3 linked regions of the Drosophila melanogaster genome follow. The protein of the gene in region 2 interacts with the protein of the main gene of each other region in a pairwise test. Each region holds a gene or a part of one and is shown on either strand. Other genes may lie near its edges.

Evidence for each region.
Region 1: the proteins of vilya (region 2) and CG13474 interact in a two-hybrid assay, tested with the Drosophila melanogaster proteins (one large-scale study listed by BioGRID).
Region 3: the proteins of vilya (region 2) and Nin interact in a two-hybrid assay, tested with the Drosophila melanogaster proteins (one large-scale study listed by BioGRID).

The regions. Positions count from the first base shown.
Region 1 is NT_037436.4:14,696,051-14,698,867, forward strand, and holds CG13474 (uncharacterized protein), read right to left. Parts: upstream 1,056-2,817; 5' UTR 1,051-1,055; coding exon 604-1,050; 3' UTR 501-603; downstream 1-500. Other genes in the region: CG17177 (uncharacterized protein), read right to left, coding at 1,263-2,817.
Region 2 is NC_004354.4:2,724,978-2,728,305, reverse strand, and holds vilya (vilya), read right to left. Parts: upstream 1,629-3,328; 5' UTR 1,600-1,628; coding exon 1,079-1,599; intron 1,015-1,078; coding exon 822-1,014; 3' UTR 738-821; downstream 1-737. Other genes in the region: dwg (deformed wings), read right to left, coding at 43-474; fs(1)Ya (female sterile (1) young arrest), read right to left, coding at 1,815-3,328. UniProt on the Drosophila melanogaster protein: Required for the formation of DNA double-strand breaks during meiosis together with narya and nenya.
Region 3 is NT_033779.5:5,276,819-5,280,655, reverse strand, and holds the start of Nin (ninein), read left to right. Parts: upstream 1-2,107; 5' UTR 2,108-2,466; coding exon 2,467-2,722; intron 2,723-3,314; exon of another isoform or gene 3,315-3,330; coding exon of another isoform or gene 3,331-3,409; intron 3,410-3,475; coding exon 3,476-3,720; intron 3,721-3,837. Other genes in the region: Bub1 kinase, read right to left, coding at 1-328, 385-1,296. UniProt on the Drosophila melanogaster protein: Required for the positioning and anchorage of the microtubule minus-ends in various cells.

The sequences.
Region 1 (2,817 bases), on a different chromosome or scaffold from region 2:
GTTTATATGAATGTATTGGCGAGCGGACTAACGAATATTGCATATTATTTACTACATGGCGAGTCTAATATACCCGTTCACGAGTAACAGGTATACGAAATAAAATAATGCTCACAAATATATTACCAAGTACAAACACAGAGCCAAGTTGGCAAAGCGTTATGGAAAAGTTTCCTCTGGTCCTGGGCCACTTTTGCATTACATTATCTCAAGTTTTGCGCTGGCAATTTCTCATGTTTTCCCCCAACATATTCTCTCGCATGTCCGTATTTGTATTTACCCATTGTCGTGCTCATAAACATGCAGCTGACTTGTTACTGTCCCACCAACATCGACGTCATCATCGTCGTCGTGCTTAACGTCAGGCGCAACTTGTGTCGCAAGAAAAACTGAGGCTCTGATAAAAAACTTTGCCTCATTTTCATGTCAGGCCAAATGAGTTTTGGAAAGTTCATCCCTGCACCACTTTTTTTCGCTGAAAGTCATCGGGCAACTCGACTAATGGTGACAGTAATTTTTAATAAAACCTGCCAAGTGTCGACACAATTTGCAGTTTACACACGCGCGCAAGTTTGATGGAATAGTTGGAGGAAATTTGCATTCCTAGTGCCTGCACCGCTTCCCCTTGGTATCCTGCGAGTTCATAAAAATGCGATGTGAAATCTTATTTTGACGATCAGCACAGTCAACGATCCTTAGAAAATGGGTAAAGGTACCCTCGAAGAACCGCTTCAGCTTGATAAACTTATAGCGCACATCGACGTAAGATTCATCCAACTCCTGGGCACTTCTGGCTCCGTAGAGTTGGCTTAGCATGTCCAGCTCGGAGTCACAACTTCCTATAGACGACCCATCCAAGTCCGTGGACTCGCTATTGCTCAGTTGAAAATCCTCAGCGAATGGATCCATGGATATGATGTAGCGTCCGGGAGCATTGTACTTCTCGATCATGGCCCCTACGATATTCAGACACTCGTTCAGATCCTCCTCCATGGAGCTACAGATGTCAAGGGCATCGTCGATTTTTGTAAATTCCGCTTGTAGTAGCATGATTTATATTTAACTCAGTACAGCTCTGACAAAAGAATCAGAAAGCCCGATATCTTAAAATCATTTTTGTAGTAAGTTTTTATTAATTAAATTTATTCAACATAATTTTTAAAACATTATTTTAAAAAAAAAATAAAAAAAATTGGCTATTTGAATTGCTTTATTCAACAATATCGTCTTATACATCATAGATCAGAAATAGATGTAGAACACTATTTGTTTATCTTTACAATTCGTTCCATGTCTTCCACTTGGTCCATAAGATCGTTCATCATGTTAATTTTCAAACACTTTTTTGAACAATGAAGCATTTCATTTGTTTGCTTGATTTGATTCTCTGTCTGATCCTTGATCCGCATATCTAGTTCCTTGTGTTCAAGGGTACTTGTTTTAGCTTTATCTAGATTCTGAATTACTTCTTTATTGAATGTATCGAGATGTTTAACAGCGTCCATTTTGCTTTGCTTCTTTAAAGCTAAGTCCTTTAACTTTCCCTCAATGTCCTGTCTAAGCTCATATAGCTCCTTTTTTAAACCATCCATCTCATCAGGAGAGTATAGTGAAGTTTGAATTTTATTATTATCTTTCAATAAGTCATCTTGTCGTTCTTTTAGAATGCTCAAGGTCAAACTAGCTTTTATAAGATCTTTTTTAAGTTTTCTTGCCTGCTCCTGAAGTTTTTTATTATCATCGTCATCATGGTTATGGCCCAAATTTCTTAAGGACTTATCTATGCCCTCTTTTATAGAATTAAGTTGATTTGAGTTGGCTTTTAGATGATCATTGTAAGTTTGGTTCATTTTATTAATCATATTTTCTAGTTTTCCCATATGCACGATAAGGTCGTCGATTTTTTTACAGCATTTCGGGAATTTATTTAGTTCTTTACGCAAGATTCCTATTTCCTTTTCCAGCTCCGCAATACTGTTCTGTAGCTTTTCGTTAGATGAACAAGTTTTAATAATCAAAGACTTAGAATTTTTGGAGTCTGTGGGCGATCCCTCAAAACAATCTTTAGAATTTTGCTTAAGCAAATACCCCATTTTAGATTGGATATTGGTTAGCATTTCATTATTTTCCTGGCATGTGTTAAGGGTTACATTTAAATTTATTGAGGGTTTATGAATGTCCAAGACGCCTAACTTTTTGAAAAGCGTTTCGGCGAGTTTCTCTAAGGTTTCTGCATTTTTTTCCAAGTCAAGAAAAATAGTTGTATCCATTGGAACATTTTGATGTATGTAGCTTTGATTGCAGATACCAAGAATATTTTTAATATTTTCAAAGCGGTGACTTAAAGTTGTCTTTATGTCTTTTGTCTTTTCTACATTTTCCTGTATTTTATCTTTCAGTTCTTTTAGCTGATTTTCTATCTTTAGAGACTGGTTATATCCATTGCTTTTGATTATCGATAATTTATTTTCCAATGACTGAAACGATTCTTTTAGGCCATCACAACATTTCGAATTTGCTTGACTATCACGAAAATATTTTTGTAGCTTCTGAAAAAGTGGTCTTATTTCTTCAACTTGTTTTTCTATGTAGCCTAGATTCTTTTGAATAGAGTGACTTTCATTTAATTTTTCAGATTCTGTCTCATTTAATTTATTTGGCAGATTCTTGATTTTTAAATGTAGATCCTTTTTATAATGTTCTATTAATTTAGTGAAGTTTTCACAGCAGCTTTTGATGCCCTTAGAAACGAACTTTTTAATTTGGGGTAAAACATTTTCCACGTCCTTTTCCAGATCTCCGCTGATTTTCAGCTTT
Region 2 (3,328 bases):
AACCATTGCATTCCATTGCACCGTGAAGTGATAGATACTTACATTGGCGACGTTCTCCTGCTCCTCGTTGAGCATCTCGATCATGACGTACTCCTCGGTGGAGTCGAACGCCTGCTGTTGCTGGTCGTGCTGCTGGCTCTGGTTGGGGCTATGAGTCTGACTCTCGTGAAAGCTGGAGCAGCGCGCCTCGTCCAGGCCCAGGCGGAGCAGCTCGTCCGAATCGATGACCATGCGCTTGAAGTTGAACGCCTGTTCCAGCAGCTGCAGGCAGTGGAGGCAGATGTGCTGCGGCATGGCGGCGCCGTCTTGCGGCTCGAACGAGAGTCCCGTGCAGTAGTTTAGCATGCTGGCCAGCGTGGTGCTGCCCTCCGAACCCAGATCGATCTCCTCCTGCAGCGGCTTGTGCAGCTTGCAGGCACGCGTGCACGTCCGGCAGTTGAGCACCACTACCTCGGCGATCTTGCTATTCATCATGATGTCCTTATCCGCTTTCCCCTGTGGTTCTTGTCGGACAGCGCCGGATTTGCCGCTTTTATGACGTTTCGCTCTTCTACTTCTTGCAATTCAATTTTTATGCGTTTTTAGAGCAGATGCTTATGCGATATTATCGGTGCAGCAGTCATCGATGGATTTCGATTAATCGAATTCACTTTCAACACTTCTGTTATCCTAACGAAACTGTTAATTGAAACTTAACGGTCGCTGTTAACTTAGCAGTTTATTATTTTAAAGCTTATGACACCATTTTATTGTTTTAAGCTGATTATTTACAAAAAATATATACTCGGTTGTAAAACAGAGCTTTACCTATCAGCACTAGCTCACAGATCGAACGAGTTGTTCGGCGGGTGTATGAAGCTGGTGATTTGCTGCCGCTTTGCTGATTCCGTTGATCGGCGTCGACTGGAGGACTGTGTGGCTGTTCCACGGCCACGAGGACGTCCGCGCGCCGAGCGTTGGGCGGATGACGAGGATTGCGAAGTCAGCGAGCGGCTTCGGTAGGCCTGGGCCATCCTAAGGCGGGTAGAAATATAATGCATTAATGGGAACTATTTTCAATGGAATCCAAATGTCGCACCGATGCATTTCCGCCTTCCGATTGGCGACTTCCGCCTTAATGTAGCGCGACCTCTGCATCAGCTTCTTGCGCTCCACGCGCAGCATCTGCGCCTCCAGGAAGCGTTTCTGGCACACGGACTTGGCCACCTCGATGTCCTTGAACAGCTTATCCATCTCCAGTTCCTTCCTCTCCTTGTACTTGTCGAAGTGCCGATGATTGCCGCGCTGGAACGTCTCCACAAAGTCGTTGCCGATGGTGAAGGGCTCCGGATGGAAGAGCTGCTTGAAGTGGTTGGGCATCGAGTTGGTCAACTGGCGGCCGCGCACGCTCCGCCGACAGGTGGAGCATTCGAATATGGGCGCGTCGCTGGGCGTGCGGCCGGCGGAGACCTTGACGCACCGCTCGCAGAACACGTGATGGCAGGCGAGCAGGAAGAAGGTGTGCTTCTTATCGCAGAACAGGGCGCAGCAGCTGTTGCAGTGGATCCACAGCTTGGACGCCTCCGGCTCGACAGTCTGACCTGCTTGTGATTTCGCCATGGGCGCTCCGTTAAGCTTTTCGATCTTGTGCGCAACTAATTAATAACAGAATCAATAGATAGAGTTGGCAGCTCTGAATGAGACGAGCTAAGCTCCTGGACCTGCCAACTCCTGCTGCGCATAACGGTTAATGCAAGACCAAACATTTATTAAACGATAAAAAAAAAGAAGAATTTCACAATTAAAACACAGATTCGCAGGCAAAAGCTTAAAACCTACTGGCGACGCATGCGCTCGATGGGCTCCCTGGGCCGGATGCGGTAGCGCTTCGAGGAGCTGGACGGCGACAGCGGGCTACAGTACTGGCTGTCCAGCGTCTGAGTGCGCTTTCTCTTGAGGCACTGCTGGTCCTCCATGGAGGAGTCCCTTGCACTGGGGCGCACCAGGGATCCAGCGATGGAGGCGCAGCGACGGATGAGTGAGCCCGAACCAGCGTTCTCCTTATCCGAATCCCTGTCCCTGTCCCTGTCCTTTTCGCGTTCGCCGCGCAAGCTGGCCGGCAGTCGCATCATGGAACTCATCAGCGACCACAGGCGACCGGAGTTGGGCGCCTCCAGCTTTTTGTCGTTGCACGTGGAGGCGTTTGTGGGGCGGAACACCTCGTCCTCCTCTTCTGCGTCCACGACCTCCGGCTCGCCCACATCCTGCACGCCGCTATAGACCCTCTGCTGACGGCATTCCCGCAACGGAGGACGCACCCTGGGTTGCTGCAATGGCGGCGAGATCAGGGCCATCACCGCCAGCCCCTTCTCCTTCGGCTTATCCTTCTTGGGCGAAAACTCGCCGCTCAGCTGGCGCGGCACAATCGCCTGGCGATGACGACGCTCTGGAATTTCCGGCGTTCCCGGTTCCGGCGTGAAAAACTGGTCCTTGGTTTCATCGCCCTCGCCATTCGATCGCATCTGTTGGCTGCTCTTGGGCGGCGTCTCGAACTTGATCTGCTTCTTGTTGATGCCGGCACCGGTGACACGGATGGGCGTTATGGCCGGCACGTGGCACACTTCCGCTGATTCCGAGGTGGAGCGTATGATCTCGACGCTCTCGCATGAGTTGTACACCGTGGAAGAGGTCTTCTGTGAGCTGGAGTTCGTCCGCGTGATGATGATCGACTCGGTGGTGAGTTTCTGTGCGGACAGCAAGAACTGCCGCTTGCATAGATCGGCATTCCGCGAGGTGCTGTAGCTGGAGCTGCTGCCGCTGTTGACCTCCGAGGCGCTGGACTCGCTCTGGGTGCGCCGCATAGCTGGCGAGAGTCGCAGGTCCAGAGCGGACGAGCCTGCTGCCTCGTGCGAACTGTGCTCGCTGAGATCGAGGCGCACGCGACGTTGCACCACTGCGGATGGTGGCTGGTGGACCATCATGCCGCCGTGCTCGACGAAGGCCTTCTGAATGCTCTTGGACATGACCTGGCGCAGCGGCGTTGCGGCGCTCATCTTGTTGCGGGCGCCCATTTTCCAGGCGCGCTGCTGCAACGGCTGCTGCTGCTGCTGCTGCTGCTGGACGGGATTGCTTTCGGGTGTCGGACTGGGCTCCTCGTGGTAGATGCTGGACACGTGGCCGCCAGTGGAAGCATTGAAGGTAATCGGCTCCTTGGGCTTGGCGAACACGGACTCCACGTGCAGTGGTGTGGACGTCGAGCGTATGACCTTGCCCTTCTCCATCGTTTCGGACGGATTCACGCCCAGTTGGCCAATGGAGCGACGAATGGAGCTGTTGCTGAACGACGACA
Region 3 (3,837 bases), on a different chromosome or scaffold from region 2:
ACTTGCGGGCTAGTATCTCTTCGGGACTGTACTCGACGCCTGCTCCTGGTGGATATACCAACTGCTTGGCATAGTGGCACACGCGCGAGGGATCATCAGGCTCTTCAAGCGTTAGAGCCGGCTTCCATGTCTCATGGTTGTTGCGCCCGTAGGCGTGGAAATTGCGCGGCAAGCGTAGGCCAGCCACTTCATTTGTCACCGGAGGACTTTGTTGAGGAGGTGGATTGCCGTTGCCGTTTTGTTGCTGCTGCGGCTGCTGTGCGTGCAACTGCGGTACTGTAGTTTGTTGCGGCGGCAACTGTGACTGTTGGGCTGGTGCATAATGGGACTAAAACAAAAAAGGAGTATTTATCAAGTAGCTTTGATATTAAATTTAATGCTCACCTCTGCCACAGGAGCATAATGCGATTGTTGCTGGACTTGGGATGGTGGTATTGCTGTTGGGGACTGAGTTGCAGGATGTGGTTCATAGCGCGGCCGCTCCTGGTAGTGTGTCTGATAGGGGACCTGTTGTTCTGGCGGCAGTTGCTGTTGTGGCGCCGGCTGATGAGGCTGTGGGGCTTGATGTGCCTGCGCCTGCGGATGATATTGCTGATAGACATTCTGCTGATATGGCTGGGGACGGTGTTGATTATAGCTCTGTGGCATCTGCTGCTGTGCATAGTTCGTGAGTTGCTGCAGTGCATCCTGCGGGGGATGTTGCTGGTGCTGCTGTTGTTGCTGTTGTTGCTGCTGTTGCCGCTGGTAAAAAAGAGACCTGGCATAGGCGAACTTGGTGTGGGCGTGCTGCAGCTCGGAAGTGCTCTGCGCCTTCTCCTGGAAGGCCAAGTTAAACACCGCCTCCGCATCCTTATACTCCTCGCGAGACTCGTAATAGGCAGCCCATCCAATGTAGAAGGCGGCCACCTGGCGACCAGTTCCTCGCTGAAAAAGCACCTGGTAGAAATGGAGTGGATCCGTTTGCATGGCTATGTACTTCAGCCACAGCCGCACCAAACGGACATCCTGGCGATAGTAGTCATTGTGCTCATACACCGTCAGGCAGCGCTCCAGAGTTTCGCGGTACTTTAGCTCCGGATCGCTTTGCGCGTGATTCTCGTACCAGCAGATGTAGTTGTACCAATGATCGAGTGGATCAGGACCCTGGTACAGGGATATGGCGTGCTCCCAAGCCTGCTTGTCGTTCAGGAAGCCGTGCATCTCGTCCGGGCTGGCCAGCGGCGGTGCTCCAGCTGCGACTGCTCCTGCTCCTCCTCCGGAACCCGATCCCTGGCGCATGTACGAGTGCATGGCCATCTCGGCCGGACGCGGAATCCTCTGATCCCGCTGCGCCGTAATGCAAACAAATGAATGCGAGACTGTGGTTTCTACGGGTCACCACCAAAAAGTCTCGGATTGCGGAATGTAGTGCCCCTTGCCGATTGGACTGGTTAGGGTCCACTAACTCAGTTAATCCCTCGGCGTCTTCGGCTGTCACTGGTGGCACATACACATGATTTTCAGTTGGATTTTTCAACAGTTTGCAATGCTCAAAGATATTTTGTATTTTTTCTTGCTTTTCAGCTTGCAAATGGAATTTATTAGTGCTGCCAAACAATCGATAGAACCATTGGCTGTCACTGTTGACGATGGCTATGCACAAGGTTATCGATAGTGCGATAGAAACGTGTTGTTGGGAATTTTTAAACAAAAGCAATTTTTTGTACAACTTTACTTTTTATTTATTTATTTGTTGCCAAAGTTCAATTTTATTAATAAAACTATAGGGTTCTTTGTTTTAAATTATTGTAGTTTGAATGACGCACAATATATGTGTGTGTGCTATGAAGCACTTCCTATTTGATATACTTTTTGTATAATTATAATCTATTATTGGAAAACAACATGTTAATCGGATGATTTCAATTTATGTCAAGTTTTCTACTTTAATAAGGGGTCTGGTTGGAGCTGAAGCTTTCCAAGTAAAGTTAGCGATTTATTATATGGCATTACGTTCTCCCTTGTTATCTATTTATTTTGTAATATAAATATTCAAATCCTAAACGATAGTTGTATAACGATAGGAACAATGGTCCACGATAGTGCCACCTCCGATGCAAGTTTGCTTAATGCCCTCCAGAGCGCGCCACCGTGCTCGCTATTACTGCATTATTGTTTTTTATCAACTCGCTAGAAATTACGCTATTCCCAAAAAAACCGCAAACCCGCGAGTGTTTATGTTGCGTTCCGAAGTGCATATCATAGATTAGTAGTATTAGTAACCCCTCAAACAGCCTGCTGTCCAAAAAACACGCGTGATTCCCCCGCCACCCACGCACATAGACCCCGATATTTCACTTTTCTTGTTTTCGACCCCTGACTGCGTTTGTGGATTTTCCCCCCAAGAAAAAAAAAGCGAAGTGAAAACGCAATTGAGCAGCCGATCGATTGGAACGGCAGCAAACTGAATTCCCCGGGTTACGGATAATGGAGGTATCCGCCGATCCGTACGAGCAGAAGCTCTACCAAATGTTCCGCAGCTGCGAGACGCAGTGTGGACTTCTGGACGAGAAGTCCCTGCTGAAGCTCTGCTCACTGCTGGAGCTCCGGGATCAGGGATCCGCACTGATCGCCAGCCTGGGCGGCAGCCATCAGCTGGGCGTGTCCTTTGGCCAGTTCAAGGAGGCGCTACTCAACTTCCTGGGCTCCGAGTTCGATGGTAATACGTCATCGGGTTTCATTGGTGAGATAGCACAAAGAATCGATCACGCTATAGATTAACTTATATAGTATAAAGATAATATTTGCTATAAGCTAACGCGACAGGTTCGCATAAAACAACATACGTTTTATCTGTAATTGCGCTTTAATTACCCATCAAGCAACATCAGATAATTACGGAATGTTTGCCAGCCACTTATTAGAGATAGTAATTCAATTTTGACACGGATTTGGAACCGTGTGGGTTTCCCTATTAATAAAACACTGATCTAATGAACACATTTCTAGCAGTCTATAGATGAACAAAGCCATTACTTAATACTCAAAGAAGTGCTACCATCTACGTGCTAATTTGCAAGGATTATGCACATTTACTTCAAACCTCCGCTTATCTGATTTGGAAACTTCTGGGCAAATTTAGGACACCTTAGGGTACGAATATCATAATCAGCACGCGGATTAGCACGGCGGCAGCTGGCGATCATAAAATCATAGATGCAATTGACACTTTTTTACGACTCCCAACTGTTCTCGACTACCTGATCCTGCATGATCCTTATCAGGTAGATGGTTACAATGTCCTGTATAAATACGCGACACATTCACCTGGGCAGTTTAGTCTAAATCAAAATGGGAACACGATTGTATTACCGCCGATCCGGCGGTCAGTTAACAGATCCGATAATTGAGAAGCTAGCCGCTCGTTTTGGTAGCCACCTAAGATCCATACAACTCTTCCAGTTCTCTGCTAACTTATATCTATTGAATCTTCCAGAGCGTTCACTGGTGATTACGGATGAGCCGCTAAACAACACATACATCGAGAGTCCGCCGGAGTCTTCCGATCGCGAGGTTTCACCCAAACTCGTCGTGGGCACCAAGAAATACGGTCGCCGGTCTAGGCCACAGCAGGGAATCTACGAGTTATCCGTCACGGACTCGGACAATACGGACGAGGACCAGTTGCAGCAGCAGCAAAATCAGCGAAGCCTCAACGGATGCGATGAGCTGGGAGTTCAGGTGAGTGTCGTTTGTCAAGTCACGTACGAAGTGGCGATACAACTTCTGGTTATGTATGCAAAATTGCATAGTAAACAGATTTTGTTTAATCGTTATTATTGCTGATACAGTAGAGCA